Linked DNA regions of Anolis sagrei. The protein of the gene in region 2 interacts with the protein of the main gene of each other region in a pairwise test. Links are inferred from orthologs where the notes say so. Each region holds a gene or a part of one and is shown on either strand. Other genes may lie near its edges. The genes, in order: CAV1 and KCNA3.

Region 1 (12,449 bases), on a different chromosome or scaffold from region 2:
CACCTCCCAACAAAGGATTCCCCCAGGCAGGAATCAGCCAGTCTTTCAAACTGCAAGGCCATTCAATGCTAATCAAGGTGGCCAATTGCAACATTCACACTTGCCTCAAGTTGACAAGAGTTCTTTCTCCTACCCTGGACATTCCACAGATATATAAACTTCTCCTGCCTAGTTTCCAACAGACCTCATAACTTCTAAGAATGATGTCAAAGATGTGGGTGAAATGTCAGGAGAGAATGCTTCCGGAACATGGCTATACAGCCCGGAAAACTCACAGCAACCCAGGAAGAAGCTTAATTCTTGCAACAGGATATACTTCCTTCACTGGACTTAACATGTTGATGATTTATTCAAAGTTTGCCAAGTTTCCCCATTGGGGATAAATATGCAACATTCAGCATATTATATTCAGGGAAGCTCTTTCAGCTCATGCATCAGAATCACCCGCCCATCTCATAAAAACAAAATATATTCAATACTGAATGAAATTATCCAACATTTTGGTAGAGACTGTAAAGAAACAGTAGAGATACAACTTCCAATGTGGTCAGTTTCCTTAGAGAGTACATTTTGGGGCACACCTTGTGTGTGGGTGTGTATATATACATACTGTGTGTATGAACACGTACACACCTAATGAACCTGGACATGCAATTCTGACCCATTGGTTATCATAATTAGCTACAAACATGGTTGATCCTAATCTTTAAACCTGTTACTAATTTATCATACTATTTTATCTGTTGATTTTCCAAACCAAGCACACAAACTCCTATACAACCCATGCAATCTCAGGGGAGTGGAGTGAGCTTCCAGGGAGTGGGGTGAGCTTCCATCTGTCAGCTGAAGTTTCTCAAGTTGCTCCTGAGACAGGAAAAAATCTCAGACTATATAAAATCCAGTTTATCTGCTTTGAACTGGATTATCTGTCAGTGTAGATGAATATAATCCCGTTCAAGTCAGATAATGTGGGTTATCTGCTTTGAAAAACTGGATTATAGGGCAGTGTAGAAAGGGCCTCAGGGTACATCTACGGTTTTTAGCCTTCCCTGCCCAAGGGTGCTGATGCCTCTCCAAACTACAGATGTCTCTGCACTGCCATATAATCAAGATTCATTAAAACTGATAATCCACAGGATGTGCTTCGAACTGGATTATATGAGTCTACACTGCCATATATTCCAGATTATCAAAATTGATAATCCGCATGAAGTGCTTTGAACTGGATTATATGAGTCTACACTGTGATATATTCCAGATCATCAAAATTGCTAATCCACATGATGTGCTTTGAACTGGATTATATGAGTCTACACTGCCATATATTCCAGATCATCAAAATTGATAATCCACATTATATGCTTTGAACCGCATTACATGAGTCTACACTGCGATATATTCCAGATCATCAAAATTGCTAATCCACATGATGTGCTTTGAACCGGATTATATGTGTCTACACTGCCATATATTCCAGATCATCAAAATTGATAATCCACATTATATGCTTTGAACTGCATTATATGAGTCTACACTGCCATATATTCCAGATTATCAAAATTGACAATCCACATGATGTGCTTTGAACAGGATTATATGAGTCCACATTGCCATATAATCCAGATCATCAAAATTGATAATCCACATGATGTGCTTTGAACTGGATTATATGAGTCCACATTGCCATATAATCCAGATCATCAAAATTGATAATCCACATTATGTGCTTTGAACTGAATTATATGAGTCTACACTGCCATATAATCCAGATCATCAAAATTGATAATCCACATTATGTGCTTTGAACTGGATTATATGAGTCTACACTGCCATATAATCCAGTTCAAAGCAAATAACCTGGATTTTAAATTGCAGTGTAGATCCAGCCTACAGCTCCCAGGATTCCATAGCATTGAGCCTTGACAGTTAAGGTGTCAAACTGCACTCACTGACCCTTAAACTCCCTTTCTTTCCCACTTTATTTTTCTCACTTGAAGGGGAAAAAAATGTTGATGGTGGGCTTGGGATACTGAAAAGATCCGGAGGCTTCTTACCTTGACGACGTCGTCGTTGAGATGCTTGGGGTCCCTGTCGACTAGGTCGATCTCCTTGGTGTGGACGTCGTGGTACTCCTTCTCGTTCATCTCATCGGCCATGGCTTTGTTGTTGGGCTTGTAGATGTTGCCTTGCTCCCGGATGGGCGCGGTGTAGCTATAATCCTAGGAAAGAAAGAGTGAGGGGATCAAGCTCTCAATCCGGAGCCCTTGGAGGGAGCTGCTTCCTGGAGAGAGGCTGGCACCGGGGGTGGGCAAAGGCGCTGCTTGGAGACGGGGCTCAAAAAGCCCAAAGCAAGTTTCACTCCCGGGTGGTGGGGTGTCCAAAGCAGCTTGGCAAGAGAGCAGAGAGGAGCTTCATCCCGGGAAGGCCCCCACGGCTGGCTCTCTGGGATTAGAATGCATATATAAATGCCTCCTACACCCCACCCCTCGGTACCAAGCCGAGCCGCCGCCAGGGGTCCGACCTCTCCAAATGCGCAAAGGACGGGAAGGGTGTCAGCCGCTGCCCCGCCCCGCCCCTGCACCCCAAGCCTTGGCACTTTCGCCAGCCTCCAGCCCCTCAAAGTCTCCTCGGGGCTGGATCTTTCTTCCCTTCCAGGGATCTTTCCTCAAGGAAAGGATCCGTCGGTTTCCAAGACGCGCCTCGACGCAATCTGGCACTTTCTGTCCCGGCGCGTAACACACACACCCCTCTCCAACATTGCTTCCTGATCCTAAGCGACCGGCACTGCCTTTACTCCGAATTATATCCCCCCCGAATTGGCAGGAATTAGAATTAGAACTCACTGGGATTCTAACCCCAATGGGAAGCCGGCCAACAGTGACTTTTTTCCTCATCACACTTGAGAATGCATGCACTTTGAAGCCGGTTGCTGCCTCTTGCAGAATGCTGGGGTTTGTAGTTTAGTGAGGCTGTTAAAGGCTCCCCCCTAAACTACAAACCCTAGAATTCTGCAGCAACCAGATTTAAAGTGGATTCATTCTCTAGTGTGATTAGGTCTTTTAAATATCTATTTAGCATTCCCTTCTCTTCATATCTCTTCCATCAACTCTCAAGCCAACTCCAAACCTCTCTCTTTTTGTTCTCAAGGGCTGAGAAGCCCCTTGGCCCTTCTTGATCCAAGTGGAAGCTCAGAGGAAGCAACAGGGCAAAGGACAGAAGGAAAACAAACTCCCGAAAAGGTTCCCCGGGGCTTTAGAAGAGAGGAATCTTTCTGGGGTTGAGATAAAAAGAGTCCTCCTTGACCACACCTTGCAGTTCCATTTGATGGGTTCAGAAAACGCAAACAAAACCTCCTCCACGACTCCTTGCAGACACTTTGGTGGACTGCCTGCATACACTACCCCACAACTGGGATCTTGGACATACAAGGCCCCTCCCAGCTAAGAGCCCAGTGTGCATCTATACTGTGGGATGAATGCAGTTGGACACCACTTCAGTTGCCTTGACTCAATGCTATGGGATCAGGAGAGATGTAGCTTCACAAGGTCTTGAGCTGTGGTCCTCAACCTGTGGTTCTCCAGCTGTTTTGAACTTCAACTCCCAGAAATCCCAACCAGTTTACCAGCTGTTAGGAGTTGTGGGAGCTGAAGTCCAAAACATCTGGATTTATTTATCCTGGGGGGGGGGGGCAAAAAATTGTAAAAAATCTTGGAGTGTCTCTGGTGTTTCTATAAGAAGGTCCTCCATTGTGCATGCGGCAGGGCTCAGGCTGCATTGTAATAGGTGGTCTGTGGTTTGCTCTTCTCCACACACACATGTCGTGGACTCCACTTGGTGGCCCTATTTCTTAAGGTTGGTTCTGCATCTCATGATGTCAGAGCACAGCCTGTTCAGTGCTTTTCAAGTTGCCCAGTATTTGCTTTGTGGCTTGAGCTTTGTGGTTTTAGCCTGCCACTTTTGGTTTCTCGCTTGCTGAGGGGTCCCTGTGAGTGTCTCTATAGTTCTTAGGAAGCTTGATTTAAGACATTGGCTTGCTGGCTGATATCTGAACAGTGGATCTTAGGAAACTATTTCTTGGTGTGCTCCAGAAGCAAACAGAAAACACCTGGAGAACTAAAGGTTGAGAACCTCTGGTCTTGAGCCTTCTTTGCCCAAGAGTGCTGGTGCCTCACCAAACTACACATCCCAGGATCCCACAGCATGGGACCAAGGGAGTTAAAGTGGTAACCAACTGCAATAATTCCACAATGTCGATGCACCCTTAAAAACTCTTGAAGAAAATGGAAGTATAAGGCATCATCATCATCTTAGGAGCCCCTGGTGGTGTGCTGGCAGAACTGAAGACTGACAGGTCATAGGCTTGAATCTGGGGAGAGCGTGGATGAGCTCCCTCTGTCAACTCAAGCTCCCCATGAATGGACATGAGAGATGCCTCCCACAAGGATGGTAAAACATCAAACATCTGGGTGTCCCCTGGGCAACATCTTTGAAGACACCAGAAGCGACCTGCAGTTTCTCAAGTCACTCTTGACATGGAAAAAATCATCATCATCATCATCTTCATTGGCTTGTCCAAGTCCCTTAATTCTACAGTGGATGTACCTTACCTCTCAGCCTCACCCGCTGGGTGCGAAGTGGAAATGAGGAGGAACACTTTTAGAAACGGAACAAATACCAACACTTAGAAAGAGATGGAGAAGGAACTTGAAAGGATAAGAGGTTTTGTGTGTGTCAGGAGCGAATTGAGAAACTGCAAGTCGCCTCTGGTGTGAGAGAATTGGCTGTCTGCAAGGACATTGCCCAGGGGGTGCTCGGATATTTTGATGTTTTACCATCCTTGTGGGAGGCTTCGCTCATGTCCCCACATGGGGAGCTGGAGCTGTAGACCTGTCAGGTATTCTGATGGGAAAAATGTTTAACCCACTGCGGGAGGCTTCTCTCATGTCCCCACATGGGGAACTGGGGCTGCCAGAGGGAGTTCATCCACCCCGGATTCCAACGTATAACCTGTCAGGTCTTCAGTCCTGCTGGGAAAAATGTTTAACCGACTGCGGGAGACTTCTCTCATGTTCCTGCATGGGAAGCTGGAGCTGACAGAGGGAGCTCATCCACACTCTCCCCAGTTTCGAACGTATGACCTGTCAGGTCTTCAGTCCTGCCGGAAAAAATGTTTAACCCACTGCGGGAGGCTTCTCTCATGTCCCTACATGGGGAGCTGGGGCTGCCAGAGGGAGCTCATCCACACTCTCCCCAGTTTCGAACGTATGACCTGTCAGGTCTTCAGTCCTGCTGGGAAAAATGTTTAACCTACTGCGGGAGACTTCTCTCATGTCCCCGCATGGGAAGCTGGAGCTGACAGAGAGAGCTCATCCACGCTGTCCCCGGATTCGAACCTACGACCTGTCAGTCCTGCCGGCACAAGAGTTTAACCCATTGCAGGAGGCTTCTCTCATGTCCCCACATGGGGAGCCGGAGCTGACAGAGGGAGCTCATCCGCGCTCGCTCCGGATTCGAACCTACGACCTGTCGGTCTTCAGTCCTGCCGGCAATGGGTTTAACCCATTGCGCCACGGGGAGTTTAACCTGAGGGACAATCCCACAGAGATGGAACATCCTAATAGGAGAGCCCTCACTCAATTGGGACAGATTGGCGCCAAAAGCTTTAAGGGCAGCCCCGCCAGTGAGTGCTGCTGGCACTGGGGAAGTGATATTGGCAAAGAAGCCCGAGGGCACCCCATCTCCCTCTTCCCTTCCCTCCAGCACTTACTGCAAAGGAGTCCCTCTTCCTCTCTCCTTTAGAAATCCTCCTCCACTGCAGTTTAGTTGGAGAAAGAAGCCCGGACAGGGAGAGCCAAGCGGGTAAGTGGGGAGGGAGTGGATATCGGACTGGAAAGGGGGGGGGGGGGAGTGAAAACAAGTGCCCCGCCAGCAGATCGGATTACCAAGCCAGGCAAATAATACTTTACACACAAAAAAACACCCCAAACACCTCTCTTACGTCTTGTTCCAGCTTTGGAGGAGAGAGCGAGAGGGGGAGTGTGTGTACGCGCGAGAGAGAAAGAGATAAGGGAAGAGCCAAGAGTCCTCAGCGAGGGCTCGAGCAGGTCCTTGAGGTGCCAGGAACCGAAAGCAAACCATCCACTTTGCAGCAGCAACAACTCAAAAAGAGAGAGAAGGCGAAGTCCTTCTTACCTCGGAGTCCACGTATTTGCTCCCAGACATGCTGTCCCCGACTGGCGCGAGTTATAATTCCCAGCGCCCAAAGAAGGAAGATCGTGTATTGTGTTCAACCCCCCCTTCTTTCCCTTCCCACCCGCGAGTGGGAGGTATCTCTCCAAGTTATGCGCCTGGACACCCGCCAAGGGCTTGTTCTAGGCTTGGAGGAGGAAGGGGAGGAGGAGGAGGAGGAGGAAAGGGTTTGGGGGGCATCTCATGGAGATCTTGCCTCCTCGCCTGCTTTTATTCCCCTCCCTCTCTCTCTCTCTCTTTCCTTTTGGGAAACTTGAGGCCAGCCTTGCTTGGAAAATAAGTACACACGCGTGGCTTTGCGGGGGACAACATGCCGGGGGAAGCCGTTGCTGGGGCTTTGGCGAGGTTTTCCATAGTTTGCAAGGCTGGCTGTGTGTGTTTTGGACCGTTCACAGAAGGAACCTCCCGCCCTCTCCTCTGCACTTCCAACTGTGCTGACCAAAAAATCAAAAGCACCTCAGATGACCCAGCTTTTGATGTTGGCAGAGCCCACCTATGCAGGAGAGTGAGGCAACCGCTTCAGGTAGATGAGAAGCTCCAGGGAGGAAGCTGACTTGTGGTCCTATTTATTTACTTATTTATTTACTAGCCGTCCCCTGCCACTCGTTGCTGTGGCCCAGTTTGGTGAACTGGAAAATAAAGTAATGGTTTCTAATATATGTAATTTCTTTATGCTTAAGGGGACCCAGTCTTTCTTGTTTCATTATCAGTGTTGATGTGCTTACTTAACTTATTAGGCGATCCCTCCTCTGAGTAGGATAGTCTTCCAAGATCAATGTCCTGGCAGTGGGTCCCTAGATGACTGTGGAGCCCTATTCTTGATCTGCATCTTCTCCCACAGTGAGGGCATTGGTTTCCAGGTGGAAGGCGGTCCTGGTCGGGGTTGGCTTGACGCACCTTCCTCTTGGCATGCTTTCTCCCTCCATTCCTGACTTTTCAAATTCTACAGCACTGTTGGTCACAGCTGACCTCCAGCCCGTCTTTAAATCTCTTTTCCTGCCCACCAACATTCTGTTTTCCGTTCTTCAGTTCGGAGTAGAGCAACTGCTTTGGGAGATGACAGTTGGGCATCTGAACAATGTGGTCCATCCAGTGAAGTTGATGGCGGAGGATGGTGGAGGACCATCACATCAATGCTGGTGGTCTTTGCTTCTTCCAGCATGCTGACATTTGTCCACTTGTCTTCCCAAGAGATTTGCAGGATTTTCCAGAGGCAGCGCTGATGGAATATTTGCATGTGACGTCTGTAGACAGTCCACATCTCACAGGCGTATAGCAGGGTTGGGGAGACAAAAGCTTTATAAAAAAGCACCTTGGTATCCATACGGATGTCCCGGTCCGCAAACACTCTGCTTCATTCGGAAAAATGCTGCACTCACAGAGCTCAGGAGGTGTTGTATTTCGGTGTCAGTGCCAAACTTTGGTGGAGAGGTGGCTGCCAAGGTAGCAGAAATGGTCAACATTTTCTAATATTACACCATTAAGCTGTAATTCTGGCATCTGAGAGGTGTTGGCTGCTGACTGCTGGAAGACGACTTTGGTTTTCTCAATGCATGTTTATCTTGAGGGGGGGGGGGGGGCTCACTGGATGGGACTCAAAGTGGTTTCCAACATATTCACGGCAAAATTCAATACTTAACATTCATATGAAAAACCTAACATGATGCAATAATAACCAATCTATATAAATAAAAATGTAAATGTCCGTTTGTTCATGACCTTATATCTCCCAAAAAAACTTCACTGATTGTTTTGAAATTTTGACACAACGTAACATTTGAACAGGTGAATAGTTTTATGTTTTCACATACATACTATTATATAGATGTCATACCTGTGACAGGTAAAAATATGCTTTGCTTCAAAAACATTGCCATCTGCTGGACGGGCAAGCAACACATGCTATACTGCATATTTTATGATTTTAAAGATTCTAAACCTTAAATCTCCCAAAATACTTCACCGACCGCTTTGGAAATGTTATGGTATGTTCCCAGACTGGCCCTCATCCGCTGCTATCCGTACTTGGCACTTGACTCTTCTCCTCATGCCACTATCCCCAGTTCCCTCCGTTCTGACCCTGCGTCAGCATCCAAGATACCTGTCTTGTCAGCCTCTTTTCTTCCAAGAGAAGAGTGCCCCCCCCCCGATGTTTTTAGTTTGCAGCTCACAGGCAGTCCTAGGCCCCATCTAAACAGCCATATAAAATCCAGATTATCTGCTTTGGCCTGAATTATATCAGTCTACACTGCCATATAATCCAGTTCAAAGCAGATAATCTGGATTTTATATGGCATGGTAGAAGCCAACATAGCCAGTGGTGATGAATTCTGGGAGTTATATTCCAGATGGTATCTGGAAGGTCACATGATTGCCATCCCACAACAAACATAAAGCCTGGGACCTTTGACCACTGCCAGTGTTGAAGTCAGTTCCAATGGTCACTTTGCTTCTATATGTGACAATAAGGAAAGGGATAAACCATGATATACTTTGACTCAGATGTCAAAATGTCTTGGGATGGCTCCTGTGATGATAGGCAGTTACAAGGATTTATGGTGTTTCAGCTCAGAGCCAAGGCAAACGTTATGCACCATAGAATTTGCATTTCATGTCAACCAAAGTAAAAGCTTCATTTTTTTTCTGTGTGGTTATTTCTATCCCTAAAGCAGTAGATCTATGGAGTCAAACTAGAAGGAGACTTTGGTCCCTGCTGGTTCATTTCAAAAACATTGCAGATTTTCTCCAGCTCTGAATCCTCATCCAAATCCTTACCATCAAATGGATTTCAGAATGATTGCTTGTGCCAGCCCATTTTATTACATGTTTGCCTTTTGTATTGTTCTTTAAGCCTGGGGAAAGGCCAGGATTGGTGTAAACTTGCAGAAATCTCTCCTTAAAAAGTCTTTCTACCTCACAATTCAACAGTAAGATCTGTCCCTTCATGTTCATTTAAGTGCTGCTGGTGAGGATAAACCCTGGCATGGAAAGGCAAAGCAGAAGATGATGATTGCTCATAGGGGAAGCATGGAATTCAGGGCGTGGTTCCTGGTTCTGCCTAAAAGAGAGAAAGAGAGTGAAAAAAGTAGCCTGGAGTTTTAAAAAAGCCCTAATATTATTTTGAATTTCGAATATGCTTAAGAGTTTTCCAAGAAATTACGTTTCAGACTTTATAGAGACCATTTAGCACCCTGTATCCTACTTTGATATTTCACTTTTGCTGATGACTGATTGATGTCAAGATCTTGAATAGACTACTGCAAGACGCTCTATGTGGGGTTGCCTTTGAAGAATGTCCAACGGGAGGCAGCCAGATTGCTCACCAGTGGTGTACAGAGAGCATACAATCCACCCCCTGCCTCCACTGACTGTCAATTTGCTACCGAGCACAATTCAAAATACTGTCTTTAGCCTATAAAACCCTAAATGGTTCTGACTGCTTACCTGTCTCCCTCTATGAACCAGCCCAGATGCTAAGGTCTTCTGGGGGGACTCTTCTCGATCCCACCTTCTTCACAGGTGCGACTGGTGGAGACAAGGGACAGGGCCTTCTCAGTGGTGGCTCCTCTACTGTGGAACTCCCTTCCTAGTGAAATCAGATCGGCTCCCTTCCTCCTGTCCTTTAGATAAAAAGTTAATACCTGGCTATGGGACCAAGCGTTTGGAGAGTAGTACAGGGTAACATGCAGCTATGAAGTGAATGGACTATAATGTAATTTGGAATGGTTTCTGGATTATGATTTTGGGTCTACGTGCCATGTTTAACAGTCAATGTAATGTATTTATACGCCATTGCTTTTATGAATTTCAATGTTTTTAATGCATAATGTATTCTGTATTTGTATGTTTTTATGTTTAATGTGGCATTGAATATTATCAATTTGGAAGCTGCTCTGAGTCCCCTTCGGGGTTGAGATAGAACAGGGTAAAAATGCAGTAAAATAAGCTCAAATGTAGTAGCTGGATACAGATGTTCATTATCAATATATCTGTTAGAGATAAGAAAAAAAAAACTTTTTTGGCCTACCTGTCCCAGAACCTTCCTGTCAGCATAGACATAGGCTGGATCTACACTGCCATATAATCCAGATTATCTAAACAGATAAATCCACATTATCTCATTTGAACTGCATTATATGAGTCTACACTGTCATATATTTCATTGCAGAAAATCTGGATTTTATATGGCAATGTAGATATAGCCATACTGATTGCACTAAAGAGAGGTTTTCTGGTCATATGTCACAGTGAAAAATGCACTTTTATGTAACAAAAAATGTATTATTTACTTTGGAAACCTATTGGATAGCCTTGGGTGAGTCATCATAAGTCAGAAAGGCAAAGCAACCCCCCCTCTGAATAAATCTGACTAACCATGGTAAGTTTGCCCTGGGGTCATCATAAGTCAGAAGCAGCTTGAAGGCACAGACAAATAAATAGGCTTTTCTATTTCTGTGCTTCAAAATCTCTCCCATGGATAGCCTTTATAACACAAAGATCTAAATATGGAATTATGAAATTTAAAAATGTACAATCTAACCTTTTTTGGGACTCCACATTCTTCCTGTTAAAATGCATTCAGAACCAAACAACTAGAAAACAGCAAAGAGAAAAAAGGAGACGAATGTGGAAAGATTTATGTTTTGGGATAAAATGCACAAAGCTTGGTCTTCACACCAAGATCACAATTAGACAGAGGGCATGTCTACACTGTAGAATGGATACAGTTTGACACCACTTTAACTGTCCCAGATCAATGCTGTGGGATCCTGGAAGTTGTAGTTTGATAAGAGATTGTCAAACTACAACACCCAAAATTCCATACCATCGAGTCATGGCAGTCAAAGTGGTAGAAAACTGCATTACTTCTACAGTCTAGGTCAGTGGTTCCCAACCTTTTTTTGATGAGGGACCACTTTGACCAGGGACCACTCTCCAACATTAGTACCAAAAGGGTTATGAATCCGATTTTGGTCAACTTTAGATTTGGCTTGGTTATTTAGGGTGCTGATTCAGAAAATTACATTGGATAGACCACATCAGCTCTAGTTTCTGATACAGAACATATGCCACCCAATAATCGCCATCTGTTCAGCCACAGAAAACCATATTTAATAATTTAGAGCTGATGTGGTAGTAGTAATCTTCCATCAGCCTCTCTCCTCCTGACATTTCCATTGCCTCGGCACTATAAGAGGGTTTTGAGAGACCAGTTGCTCTTGTTGCTACATGGTTTCAAGGCAACAGTATAGCAATGGTGAAGTCATGGACCATATTTTTGTTCTTACAGACCATTGGTGGGAACTACTGGTCTAGAAGCACTCAAGAGTGATGCAACCTGAACTGTATACCAGGATCTGATCTCTGATTATTTGCTTATCCTAGATTATCTGGCATTGTAGACTCATATAACCCAGTTCAAAGCAGATAATCTGGGATCAGATACTGGGCAGTGTAGCTCTAGCTAGAGATCGCCATCTTCACTCCTGACCCTGGTAACAGAAGAACTTGGGCCAGGCCCCATTCCTCTATTAATGTTAAGATTTGGTCCAAAACTGGCACATTCTGTTCTGTGTGCACCACATGGAACTGCAAAAAGGAATCTTTGATGGTGGCAGAGTTTATATATTCAGGGCGAGACATTCCAGAGCAGACAATGAAGGATGATGGTATCTGGAGAGAGAGAGACAGGATAAGCTGCTTAAGTTCGAATGGGAAATATGAATAAACTATAACCAGGAAGTGACTCACCTCTGCAACCATTTCTGTGTAAACTACATTATTGCCTGTCCTGCAAAATCAATCTGTACTCACTTACAGAAATGCAGCTATCGTTGTACTGGTGAAAACGTTTGACAAATCGACTGATGCCTTTGCTATGGTGAGTTGAGCAGCACAGAACGAGCAAACTTACAATGAGATTAAATCTTCTTTTCTGCAAACTATAAAGTCATCTGGTGGTGCAGTGGGTTAAACCACTGAGATGCTGAAGTTGCTGACCAAAAAGTCACAGGTTGGAATTCAGGGAGCGGTGTGAACTCCCACTGTTAGCACCAGCTTTTGCGAACCTAGCAGTTTGAAAATATGCAAATGTGAGTAGATCAATAAGTACTGCTCTGACGGGAAGGTAATGGCGCTCCATGCAGCCAGCCACATGACCTTGAAGGTATCTATGGACTTAGAAATGGAGGTGAGCACCA
Region 2 (12,549 bases):
ATTTGATTGCAGCTCTACATAAGTGCCCCAAATAGCTGAGGACTCAGCCAAGTAATTTATCTCAGGGTGCTAGAACTGATTGAAAATGCAAAGCAGATACAGATCCTGAATGGGATCAAGAGAGATCACTGCATGCAGACTGCAATTCTAAACAAAAGGCATCAGTGTATTGTCAAAGGCTTTCATGGTTGGAATCACTGGGTTGTTGTGAGTTTTCCGGGCTGTATGGCCATGTTCCAGAAGCACTCTCTTCTGATGTTTCGCCTGCATCTATGACAGGCATCCTCAGAGGTTGTGAGGTCTATTGGAAATTGTAAAGTTAAAGGTAAAGGTTTTCCCCTGACATTAAGTCCAATCGTGTCCGACTCTGGGGGTTGGTGCTCATCTCCATATCTAAGCAAAAGAGCTGGTGTTATCCGTAGACACCTCCAAGGTCATGTGGCTGGCATAACTGCATGGAGTGTCATTACCTTCCCGGCAGAGCGGTACCTATTGATCTACTCACATTTGCATGTTTTCAAACTGCTAGGTTGGCAGAAACTGGGGCTGACCTCGGAAGCACACACCGCTCCCCAGATTTGAACCTGCGACCTTTCGGTCAACAAGTTTTGCAGTGGTTTAAACCACTGCACCACCCCATTTTCCTAGTTTCCAACAGACCTCACAACCTCTGAGGAGGCCTGCCATAGATACAGGTGAAACGTCAGGAGAGAATGCTTCTGGAACATGGCCATACAACCTGGAAAACTCAAAATAACTCAAAAGGCATCAAACCATATGCTGATGAGTTGAATCTCAGATCACTGCGGTGAAGTAATGAACCTTTCCCCTTTCCATCACTACTACATATTTTAAAACATACTGATTCTATGAAGTCTGCCTTTATCTGTCGATCACTTCGCTTTTCAAATATTTACATATTCTCACAGATGTAGTCAGTCTACCTTGTTGAATCGTAACATCACGGCTGGTATGGTTCACTAACCTGCAACGCTTAAGGTCTGGCTGATTTTGAAAGGAAATAGCAAGTAACTTTACTCTGAATCTAAAATAAAAACCAGGAGTGAATGTCATTATAAATATGATGGAAAAGCAAGTTAAAATGCTTTAAAACAAAAAAAGAAATTTAAATTCCACATGGTTGCATGTCAAATGTTTCAACAGACACCTCATAGAGGTTGGGTTTAAAATCAGTGATGGTCTCATGTTGCTGATACATCCATACATATCTTAGGAAGAGCAATGCTTCCTACAGTAGCAAACAGCTCACCTGTGTCTTCCCTGATACTCTACAGCCTCAGGTGTGTAGATGGCAGAAGATGAGCATATATTCCCAGATGGTTTAAGTTCTTCTCAGCCCCATACTTTGTGGCTCATTGGTGTTTATTTCCCTAGATTGGCATCCTCTTAAAACGTTTTGGGTCTTCTTCTTCTCCTTCAGTGCCACACATGCCTTGAAATGAATGGTCCTGTTGCATAAAACTAGGTCATGCACCATGAATTAATAAAGGTTTCGTCCTGAAGGAAGCTGGGGATGGTGCCATCTTTGATTTGCCTAGGTGGTGATGTGGTACAATGAGTAAGGATTCATTCCCAGTCTCAAATATTGGGGTATCAAATAGTAAAAGAGATTCAGGAACCTGAAGTTGCTGGTGTTTTTTGTGGAACAGGTGTTTTTTTTTTCTATCGAAACATGAGGAACGACTGATATTCTTCCTCATCTTCGTGTTTTGGCTGGCACCAGGACACCGAGAATATTGCACGTCCAAAAATGATGCACACCGAATAGCACTCAGTAGTTTCCACACTTAAATCTCTCTGGGATTACTGCCGCGCGTATGTAAGTGTGTGAGTGTGTGATTTATCGGAGCAGAGGCTTTTCTGTGGAACCACAGAAGTTGGAACCATCTGGAATGGTTGCTATGGAAACAGCACAGGAGTGGGGGAGGGAGAGACCGGATGCCATGGCAACCTCTGGGAGTTTCCCAGGAAACCAAATTGCTATGGAAACTGCATCACTCAAGTCCAAATTAGTAACTTCCGCTGCAAGGCGGGTGCATTTGCCACTTTAATCTTCTTGCGATAGATGCAACCGCTTATCTTGCATGCATTGGCAATGGATGGAAACATCCCTTTTGTTACTAGGGTTTCCAGTGGAGGCTGCAGTCTCTGCCAAGAGCCCATTGGAGATTTACTAGGAGCGGAGCAATTCACGATACGCGGAGTGCTAAACACTCAGGGCACGTTCCGGACAATCCACTGTCCATTGTACTATGGGGAGAGAGATCTTCCACTATACCATGCAGGTAAACTTTCAGGCTCAGGAAAGCAATTATTTGGTCTTGTGGCCCAAAGATACCCCAAACCACAATGGAGGTTTTTGTTCTTGTTCCATCTAAATGATTACACAAATGACCTGGGCGGATGGCACACAGACTCTAACCTGACATAAAGAAACCTGGACTGCACTCTCACATACCACACATTAGATGTTTCAACAATAGGCATCATTGTAGAACAGGATGGCAGAGATGCGCTGTGGCATTAAAATCATCACGTATATTTTTTTTCTTCACTGTCGGCAAGATGGTGACGTTCACTTTGCTGTCACTTCCTAACTTTCAGTCCAACAAGTGCAGCCAGGCAAGGAACATAAAATCAGCAACAGAACTGTTCTTTGCAAAATCAGACAACAAAGCACGTTCCCTGACAACAACAACAAAAAAAATCCCCAAAGCCCCGCATCAAACAGCGCAGAACAAAAACCTGTTCCTGGAGGAAGCGGCACGCACGTACGTACGTCTTTGAATCCTCTTATCTGTCTCCTTTCTTCACATCTGCTTGGTTCGTTTACCTTCCCCAAATCCCCATCTTCGGAAGGAAGGACGAGAAAAGTACACACATGAAACAAGAGCACAAAGACGGATGGTGGTGCATGTTCCTCACAACAACGATTATGCAGACCCTCTTGTATATATGTGTGTGTGTGTTTATATATATTTATATATTTATATCGCCTTGAAGGGTCTCTTAAACATCTGTGAAGATCTTTTTAATATTCACACAGTTGGGATTGTTTACGGCCGTGCAGTTGCCCGTCTTAAAGGCAGCCTGTTTGAATGCACTGTTGCTGATGCCTCCCTCTTCAATCACCATGTACTCGGACTTGCTGATCGTGGAATTGCTGCGAGCTTTTCTCAGCTCCTCGGTGGAGGAGAGATGCTGGCAGCTTCCTACATGCATGTACTGGGCTTGTTCTTCACCTTCTGTTTCCCGGTGATAGAAGTAATTGAAGTTGGAGACAATCACAGGCACAGGCAAGGCAATGGTCAGCACCCCAGCTATGGCACAGAGAGACCCAACTATTTTGCCCCCAATTGTGATCGGGTGCATGTCCCCATAACCCACGGTAGTCATGGTCACTACAGCCCACCAAAAGGCATCAGGGATACTACTGAAACTCGAGTTAGGATCATCAGCCTCCGCAAAGTAGACCGCGCTAGAAAAAAGGATAACTCCAATGAAGAGGAAGAAAATGAGCAAGCCCAGCTCTCGCATGCTGGCCTTGAGGGTCTGCCCCAAGATCTGCAGCCCCTTGGAGTGCCGAGAGAGCTTGAATATACGGAAGACTCTAACTAGCCGGATGACTCTGAGGATGGCAAGGGACATGGCTTGCTGGCCATTCCCTTGCCGCTCGGCCAGCTCAGTCCCCAAAGTGATGAAATAAGGTATAATGGCCACAATGTCAATGATGTTCATAATGTTCTTGGAGAAGGTGGGCTTGCTGGGACAGGCAAAGAAGCGGACAAGCAGCTCAAAGGAGAACCAGATAATGCACAGCGTCTCCACCACGAAAAAGGGATCAGTGAAAGAGGACACTATGGAGGTTGCAGGGGAAGAAGAATTCGTGAAAACGTCTGCCATGAAGGGGCCCACGCCCGTTCCAAACGTCCCTGCAATGGTATCATAGTCACGGTCATCTCTGAACTCGGGCAAGGTCTCCAGGCAGAAAATGACAATGGAGATGAGGATCACTAAGACCGAGACAATGGCGATGCCCCGCGCCGGTCCAGAACTTTCCGGGTACTCAAAGAGAAGCCACACCTGGCGCTGGAACTCCTTCTCGGGCAGAGGCCGCTGCTCCTCACGGATGAAGCCCTCATCTTCCCGAAATTTCTCCATGGCCTCCTCACCCAACTGGTAAAAGCGGATCTCTTCAGAGAAGATGTCGATAGGCACGTTCACCGGTCGCCGGATGCGGCCGCCGGACTGGTAGTAGTAGAGGATGGCGTCGAAGCTGGGCCGGTTGCGGTCGAAGAAGTACTCGTTGCGCAGGGGGTCGAAGTAGCGCATCCTCTTGCGGGGGTCGCCCAGGAGGGTCTCGGGGAACTGGGCTAGCGTCTTGAGCTGGGTCTCGAAGCGCAGACCGGAGATGTTAATGACCACCCGCTCGCAGCATTCGTGCTCACCTCCTCCTCCGCTGCCCAACATGAGGTGGTGGCCGGCGGGGGGCAGGGCGTGGACCCCCGGGTGCTCGTAGCGCTCGCCTCCCAGCAGGGCCTGGGGGTGCTGGGTGTCGTCCAGGAGGGGGTCCTCTCCCCCCACCACCGTCATGCCCCCCTCCAGCTCCTCTGCCGCCTCCTCTGCCTCCTCTTCTTCCTCTTCCCCCTCCTCCTGCCCTTCCTGCTGGAGGGCGCCCTCGGGGAAGGGCTGCTCACTGTAGCCCAGGTTGTGGTGGCTGCTGGCCCCGACGACGCCGTTCCCGCCGCCCCGGGGCTGCCTGCCAGAGGACGGGGCGGCCGGCGAGCGCAGGAGGCTCCGCTGCTCGTCCATCCACGGGGCGCGGCGGGAGCCGAGGGGAGACGCGCTCTCCCCAGACGGCTCCGCCCGGCTCTGCCACCGCCGTCGCGCGGAGGAGTCCGCCCTCGCCGCTCACGGGCTCCTCCCGCCGGAGCCACACGGAGACAGCCAAGCAGCAGCCAGCCAGCCAGCCAGCCAGGCGGGGAAGGAAAGAAGGAAGGAAGGGGCTTCTTCACCCGCACGCCGCAGCTGATGATGATGAAGGGGAACCGCCTGTTGTTGTCGCCGCCGCCGCCGCCGCCGCCGCCACTACTGGAGAAGGACAGCGAGAGAGAGAGCCAGGCGGGAGGAAGAGAAGGAAGAGGAAGAGGAAGAGGAAGGGGGAAAGAGAAGAGGAAGGAACAGAGCAGAAGCCCCCCAGGGCACAGGCGACCACGCGGACGGGGAGGCAGCGCTCCAGAATCCTCCGCTAGAGTCCCTGCCTCGCCAGACGCGTTTCTGGCGAGGATTTGAGCCAACAGAGAAGAGGAGGTCGCAGCCAACTAGAAAGGATAAGGAGCTCAGCCAACTAGAGAAGATTAGGGTCCTAACCTACTACAGAAGATGAGGATCTTGGCCAGCTAGAGAAGATTAGCATCCCAACCAACTAGAGAAGATGAGGATCTCAGCCAACTAGAGTAGATTAGGACCTCAAACAACTAGAGAAGGTAAAGATCTTGGCCAACTAGAGAAGATTAGGATCCCAAACAACTAGAGAAGGTGGGGATCTTAGCCAGCTAGATAAGATTAGGATCCCAACTAACTAGAGAAGATGAGGATCTCAGCCAACTAGAGTAGATTAGGACCCCAAACAACTAGAGAAGATGAGGATCTTGACCAACTAGAGTAGATTAGGATCCCAAACTACTACAGAATATGAGGATCTTGGTGCGCTAGATAAGATTGGGATCCCAACCAACTAGAGAAGATGAGGATCTCAGCCAACTAGAGTAGATTAGGACCTCAAACAACTAGAGAAGGTAAAGATCTTGGCCAACTAGAGAAGATTAGGATCCCAAACAACTAGAGAAGGTGGGGATCTTAGCCAGCTAGATAAGATTAGGATCCCAACTAACTAGAGAAGATGAGGATCTCAGCCAACTAGAGTAGATTAGGACCCCAAACAACTAGAGAAGATGAGGATCTTGACCAACTAGAGTAGATTAGGATCCCAAACTACTACAGAATATGAGGATCTTGGTGCGCTAGATAAGATTGGGATCCCAACCAACTAGAGAAGGTGAGGATCTCGGCTAACTAGAGAATATGATTATCCCGACTTACTAGAGAAGACAAGGACCTTGGCCAACTAGAGAAGATTAGGATTTTTTTAATTATTTATTAATTACCATATTTATACCCCACCCTTCTCACCCCAAAGGGGACTCAAAGCGGATTTACACATAGGCAACAATTCAATGGCATAAAAGCCACATACAATTAAAATAAATAATTACATTAAAACAAATAATTAAAACATCAAAATATTACACCAACTATTAAAACCATGTAATCCATGATCATAATTCAAAGTCATTCCAGTACTCATTGCACATATTTCATATCCATTTCTTGCACCATGATTATTATTCAAAGGCTCGGTCCCATAGCCATGTATTCACTTTCTTCCTGAAGGCCAGGAGGGAGGGAGCTAATCTAATATCACTGGAAAGGGAGTTCCACAGCCAAGGGGCCACCACTGACAAGGCCCTGTCTCTCATCCCCATCAACCACACCTGTGAAGGAGGTGGGACCGAGAGCAGGGCCTCCCTAGAAGATCTTAATCTCCACAATGGTTCATAGAGGGAGATACGGGTAAGCTGGGCTGGATCCCAACCAACTACAGAAGATGAGGATCTTGGCCAACTAGAGAAGAAAAGGATTCCAACCAACCATAGAAAAGGAGCATCTCAACTAATGAGAGAAGCAGATCTCAGCCAACTAGAGAAGATTAAGATCCCAACCAAATAGAAAAGTTGAGATTTCCACCATCTAGAGAAGAAAAGGATTCCAACCAACTATAGAAGAGAAGCATCTCAACCAGAGAAGATGAGGATGCAGAACTACAATTATATGGGTCCCTGTAAAGGAATGAAGCTCATATTTCAAGCCTGAACCTCTAGCATTCTTTTGGTACACTCTACAATAAGAAACAATCACTTTAAGCAAAAAAAGAAAAAAAAGAAGAAGCTTTAGGTGGAGGAGGGTCCTGTCCTCTTTTCATGCTACACTAGGGGTGTCACATAAATTAAGGAGTTGTCTTCTTCTCAAAAGTTCTTCATCCTCTTTTTCAAGGGCTGATCAACAGGGCTGTAATTCACACCAGCATTTGGCAGGAATGTGTTTTTGCAAACTGTTGCCTGGTCAATAATATGTTTGTTGTTTATTTGTTCAGTCACTTCCAACTCTTTGTGAGCTCACGGACCAGCCCACCCCAGAGCTCTCTGTCGGCTGTTGCCACCCCCAGCTCCTTCAAGGTCAAACCGGTCACTTCAAGTATGACATCCATCCATCTTGCCCTTGGCTGGCCACTCTTCCTTTTTCCCCAGCATCAATTATTATTATTATTAATTATTATTAATATTTATTAATATTAATATTTTGTGTCAATAATAATAATAATAATAATAATAATAATAATAATAATAATAAGCTTTATTTGTACTCCACCTCATCTCCCTAGAGGGACTCAGGGCAGCTTACAACCAGACAAAAAACATAGGTAGTATGTTAAAAAAATAATCATGTATTAGTTAATAAAAACAAAATAGCACAACAATATATGCATAAATAAACAACCAGTTAGAAACACTGTAAAATCCTATAAAATATTATATAGTGCAATTGAAAGCCATTCCTATCATTAGAGGATCCAGATCAGTGTTATAATAGCCGTTTAGTGAAACAAATGTCCACCAAGGAAGGCAAAAAGCAGCCCAGGAGGTTTCTGCCCCACTTTATTTCAATCCAAGTTTTGGTGGGTTGCAGTTCCTGAGCTTTTCCTGCACTGGAGGCTTCAAGATGCTTGACAAAAGTGTGAGCTGGCTCTGTCCTTAGGAAATCGAAGGGTGAAGAATGAATGCAGTTGGACACCACTTTCACTGCCCTGGATCAATGTTATGGAATCAAGGGAACTGTAGTCTTACACAGCCTTCAACCCCTTCTGACCACTATGGCAGTTAAAGTGGTGTCAAACTGTATTCATTCTACCATGTAGATCAGGCATGGGCAAACTTTGGCCCTCTGGGTGTTTTGGACTTCACCTTCCACAATTCCTGGTGTACATAATACCAAACTATCCACTAGAAACTTTAAGAGTTCAGTGAGCCGAAATTTAATTGAAGCTGTACACACGAAAACCATTGGTATTAATAAATAAATGAACAGATTCAAAGTGTGTGCAAGAATTCATATCTGAAGTGGCTAAAATATTTTAAACATGGGCCACAATTCAGAGACTGATCACTTTTTGCATGTTAGAAGTCCCCAGTTCCATTCTTCATATATCCAGATGGAGCTAGGACAGAGCTCCCACTTCCACAAACAGCTATTGTTCCCACTGAGCAGGAGACACCCATGTCTTTCCCTCTGCTGACATTGCAGGTTATAGTGAGTGCCATGAATATGTAGCCCAAACCCTGCCAGTGTCCTCCATAAACACCATACTGCCCCCCACCCAAGTGAAGGCTCTCATGCAGGGACAATTTCATCCTAGATGTTCTGTTTTTCGTCCACATCCCATGGTTCCTATCTCTCTCCATTGCTGTGGAATTTGCATGATCCCACCCACTGCCTCTCCATTAACCCTTTCCTACCCTTTGCTATGGCACACAACAAACAGAGGAATTGATCAGCAACTGAACAAGAAGTTTGGGGAAAATTCACCATGATTTACAGGAGTTGTACTTGACCTACATCCAGAGAGCACTGTTAACCCAACTAACGATGGATCTGGATCAAACTTGCAATGGGTAATAGGAGTTGCAGTACCTTCACTGATGCTGTGATCCCCACCGACAACTGACTGGGACCAAACTTGGCACAGAGAAGCCCCATGACCAACTGAACATACTGCAGGGGTTTGGGGGAATGGGTATTGATTTTGGGAATTGTAGTTCACTTGCATCCAGAAAGCACTGAACCCAGTCAACATCAGATCTGGACCAAACTTTGCACACAGACTCAACATGGCCCACTGTGCATACAAGCCTGGTTTGGAAGTGATTGACCTTGGATCTGAGAGTTGTAGTTCACCTTTATCCAGAGAGGGCTGAATCCAGCCAACAATGGATCTGGACAAACATGATACACAGACCCAACATGGCCAACTGTGAATACTGTCAGGGTTTGGGGGTGATTTCCCTGGGGATCTGGGAATTGTAGTTCACCCTTATCCAGAGAGCACTGAACCTAGCCACTGACGGATCTGGACCATCCCAAAACAAACAATGTCTTCTTCTAATAACCCAGGCACTGCCATATCCCCGAGCTAATAATATATAAATGAAATATTTTCATGAGATATGTTGTTACCAATGCATTTTGTTATTACAATTTATGTATGTATCCAGATCTCTCAGAAAAGATTGATTTCACTTCTGGTTTGCTAATAAAACTGAATGGCTATGTCATGAAATCATGCATGTCTACAAAGCATGTCACCAACAGGAAATGTTGGGAAAGCTCTACTCTGGAATCTTAGTAATATATGGAGCCAGGGCAAGTACATAATTCTGAATTAGTTAGACAATTCATATGATTGTATGCACACACTGCAGCTGCAGCTGTGGCAAATGTTCTTTTAACAGCAATGAGCTTCTCTTGAGAAATTTTGGTCGCACGCATACAATATGCATGCATAATATCAAATATATATGCGTGAACCTCTTTACTTCATGTCGTGGGAAACAGGGCTCATATGCAAGTGAGTATTTTTATTCTACATTCTCTAATTCCTCTCCCTCCCCATGTTTTTGTATAGTGGAATATTTCAGTGGTTGTTAAAAATAATTTTACACAAAACACTTCCTCCACTGTCATCCCTCCTCCACAGTACTGCTTTGCACATTTTCAATAATTGCAAAAAGATGCCAGGAGGAGTGGAGAAAGCACAACGACAACACAAGAAATAAGAGCAAGTTGCATATGAGTCAGCAGTGTGATGTGGCTGCAAAAAGGGCTAATGTGATTTTAGACTGCATTAATTGAGCTAAAGCTTCAAAATGACAGGAAATATTTTGCTTTATTTCCCCTTAGTCAGAGCTCAGTATTTTGTCTCTTTGTAGATTCTGCTCTTTAAAAAAGATGCAAATAGACTGGAATTCAGAAGAGGACGGTGAACTTTCGAAAATAAACCTGTATCAAAATATTTATATCCTATCCTTTATCAACAGGTCTCTGGGTGACTTACAAAAAAACCCCAAATTAAACCATCTAAAATGTAAGGCAATAACAGGTTTAAACATTCCAAAATCATATTAAACTACTGACATTTTAAAGAAAAATTAAAGCAGGAGAAAACACTGGGGACCCTTCCACACAGTCCTATATTCCAGAATATCAGGGCAGAAAATCCTCAGATAATGCAGTTCAAAGCAGATATTGTGGGATATTCTGCCTTAATATTCTGGGATATAGTGCTCTGTGGAAGGTCCATGAAAGATGGAAGTAATTACACAGAGAAATGTGATGCCTAGTGCAAGTGATGCACAACGTGTGGCCTTCCAGGTATTTGGGATTACAACTCCCAGAAGCACTACCCAGAGTGACCAAAGGTCAGGAATTCTGGGAGCTAAAGTTGAAAAAACCTGGAAGGCCACAGGTTGTACACCACTAACCTAGGGCCCTTCCACAGAGTCCTACATCCCAGAATCTCAAGGCAGAAAATCCCACATTATCTGCTTTGAACTGGAATATGTGGCAATGTGGACACAGATAACCTAGATCAAAGCAGATACTTAGTAACATAGTTACAAGATTTGTGGATATGATGCCTGACTGTAAAATGCCATTTAAACTTTCCCCAGCCTCAAAGACACAAGTCCTCTGTTGGGTTGCAATTCTCATTATTTGCAGTCCACATGCAGATAACCAAAAGTGATGAGAATTATTGTTCAATAACACCTGGAGACCCAAATTCGGAAAAACTAAATAGCAGCAACCCACTACATCAAAACGTTATTGTTGGCCCTCTGTGACTATGGATTCTCTGTGGATTCAACAGCCTTTTGTAGGCAACTATAAGGTTGCTTTGGTCCTTGATGAAAATAAATTTGACACTCCTGGTCTACAAGATCCCTTCCAACTCTTGATTCTGTGAGTTAGGGAACAACAGCAAGTAGCAAGATGCATTTCTTTAGGGGTGATCTTTGTTTCTCATCTTAAATTTTTGGAAATGGGGAGTTAAAAGAAACTGTGAAGGATAGGATATGTGACTAGGAACTGTTTCCTCCAACTTTTGTTGCTCCTAGCAGAACATTGTTTCACCCCATGGTGATCCTGAGCCCTTTGGGAGACATCCTGTTAACAGCAGATAAACATTTAAATCAGGTTAAGGAGACCAGCACTATTCCTCATGTTGCCCATTAGGCAGAAATGTGTTTTCGCAAACTGTTGCCTGGTCAATGCAATGACCTGGTTGCTTTTATAGTACTTACTACTTAGGCAATGAATTAAAGTCACAATCTGTCCTTTAATTGGGGTGTCCTACTTTCTTATATACTGAATATGAACATTGCGTTATTGCTTTTCCTGCAATCTCATTTTTAGTTTTTTAGATTGCATACTCACTCATTGGGATAGAGGTCATTGTCTATCTTTCTCTTAAGCTGTAATCGTATACAGTTATTTGAGCAAAGTAAGGACTTACCTTTAACTGTAATTGAAAAGGGAGGTGCAGCAATCAGGGTGATGGTGTTAATGTTGCACATCAACAAGGCAGAATCACGAAAATGTAATTCTTGCACCATGTTTGTGACATAAACATGGCAAAATGAATAATTTGTCTAGCCTTTAGAGCCAATGGGACTACTGATGGCATTGAAAAACTATATTTCATAGTACTTTTGGAGATCATCGCAAGGCTGTAACAGTAAACATAATACTTTCCCACTGAACAATGAGATTTGACGACTGAACAAGATCACCTTTTACTCCCCTCTCAAATTACACCTGGTTATTTATCTGGATGACTCCTCTGACATTGATGGGAGCAGACTAGCTAAATCCCATTCATCATTTTATGTAGAAAGTTACAACTCAGTACAAGGAGAGCCATTTTAATATTCTAAAAGTATGATTACAGTGTGGGATTATGCTGGCTAAACAATGTTAATTCATATTTCAGCATAATGGAGATCATGTTAAAGGACTATTACAATAGCAACAAAGGATATGCAGTAAGTCTGCTATTCTCTTGTTACATGTCGTTATTCTATCATAAGATAAAAGATCATGTTTGCAGAGCAATTTAATCACATTGCAAAGCAAAGCAGTGTAATCCGCAGCATTACACTGGTTAGAAAGTCCATAGGAATGAATGAACACCTCATATAATAAAGACCGAAGGACATTATGTTGACCTTGAAGCAAGCTTTTAAAACATTTATCCTGGTGTCTTTTGGATATGGCCACAACATCAGTGCCGAGTCACTAGGAATGTCATTCACAGTATTCTCATGGGAGACTAATCAAAACGTGTACTTTTTTTTC

What was found.
Region 1: the proteins of KCNA3 (region 2) and CAV1 come close enough for resonance energy transfer, tested with the Homo sapiens proteins (2 studies listed by BioGRID). The link is inferred for Anolis sagrei from reciprocal best matches to the Homo sapiens genes KCNA3 and CAV1.

Annotation. Positions count from the first base shown.
Region 1 is NC_090025.1:131,343,324-131,355,772, forward strand, and holds the start of CAV1 (caveolin-1), read right to left. Parts: upstream 6,347-12,449; 5' UTR 6,223-6,346; coding exon 6,193-6,222; intron 5,851-6,192; exon of another isoform or gene 5,768-5,850; intron 2,220-5,767; coding exon 2,055-2,219; intron 1-2,054. UniProt on the Homo sapiens protein: May act as a scaffolding protein within caveolar membranes. Forms a stable heterooligomeric complex with CAV2 that targets to lipid rafts and drives caveolae formation. Mediates the recruitment of CAVIN proteins (CAVIN1/2/3/4) to the caveolae.
Region 2 is NC_090024.1:183,293,274-183,305,822, reverse strand, and holds the start of KCNA3 (potassium voltage-gated channel subfamily A member 3), read right to left. Parts: upstream 5,342-12,549; 5' UTR 4,834-5,341; coding exon 3,031-4,833; 3' UTR 2,801-3,030; exon of another isoform or gene 1,271-2,800; intron 1-1,270.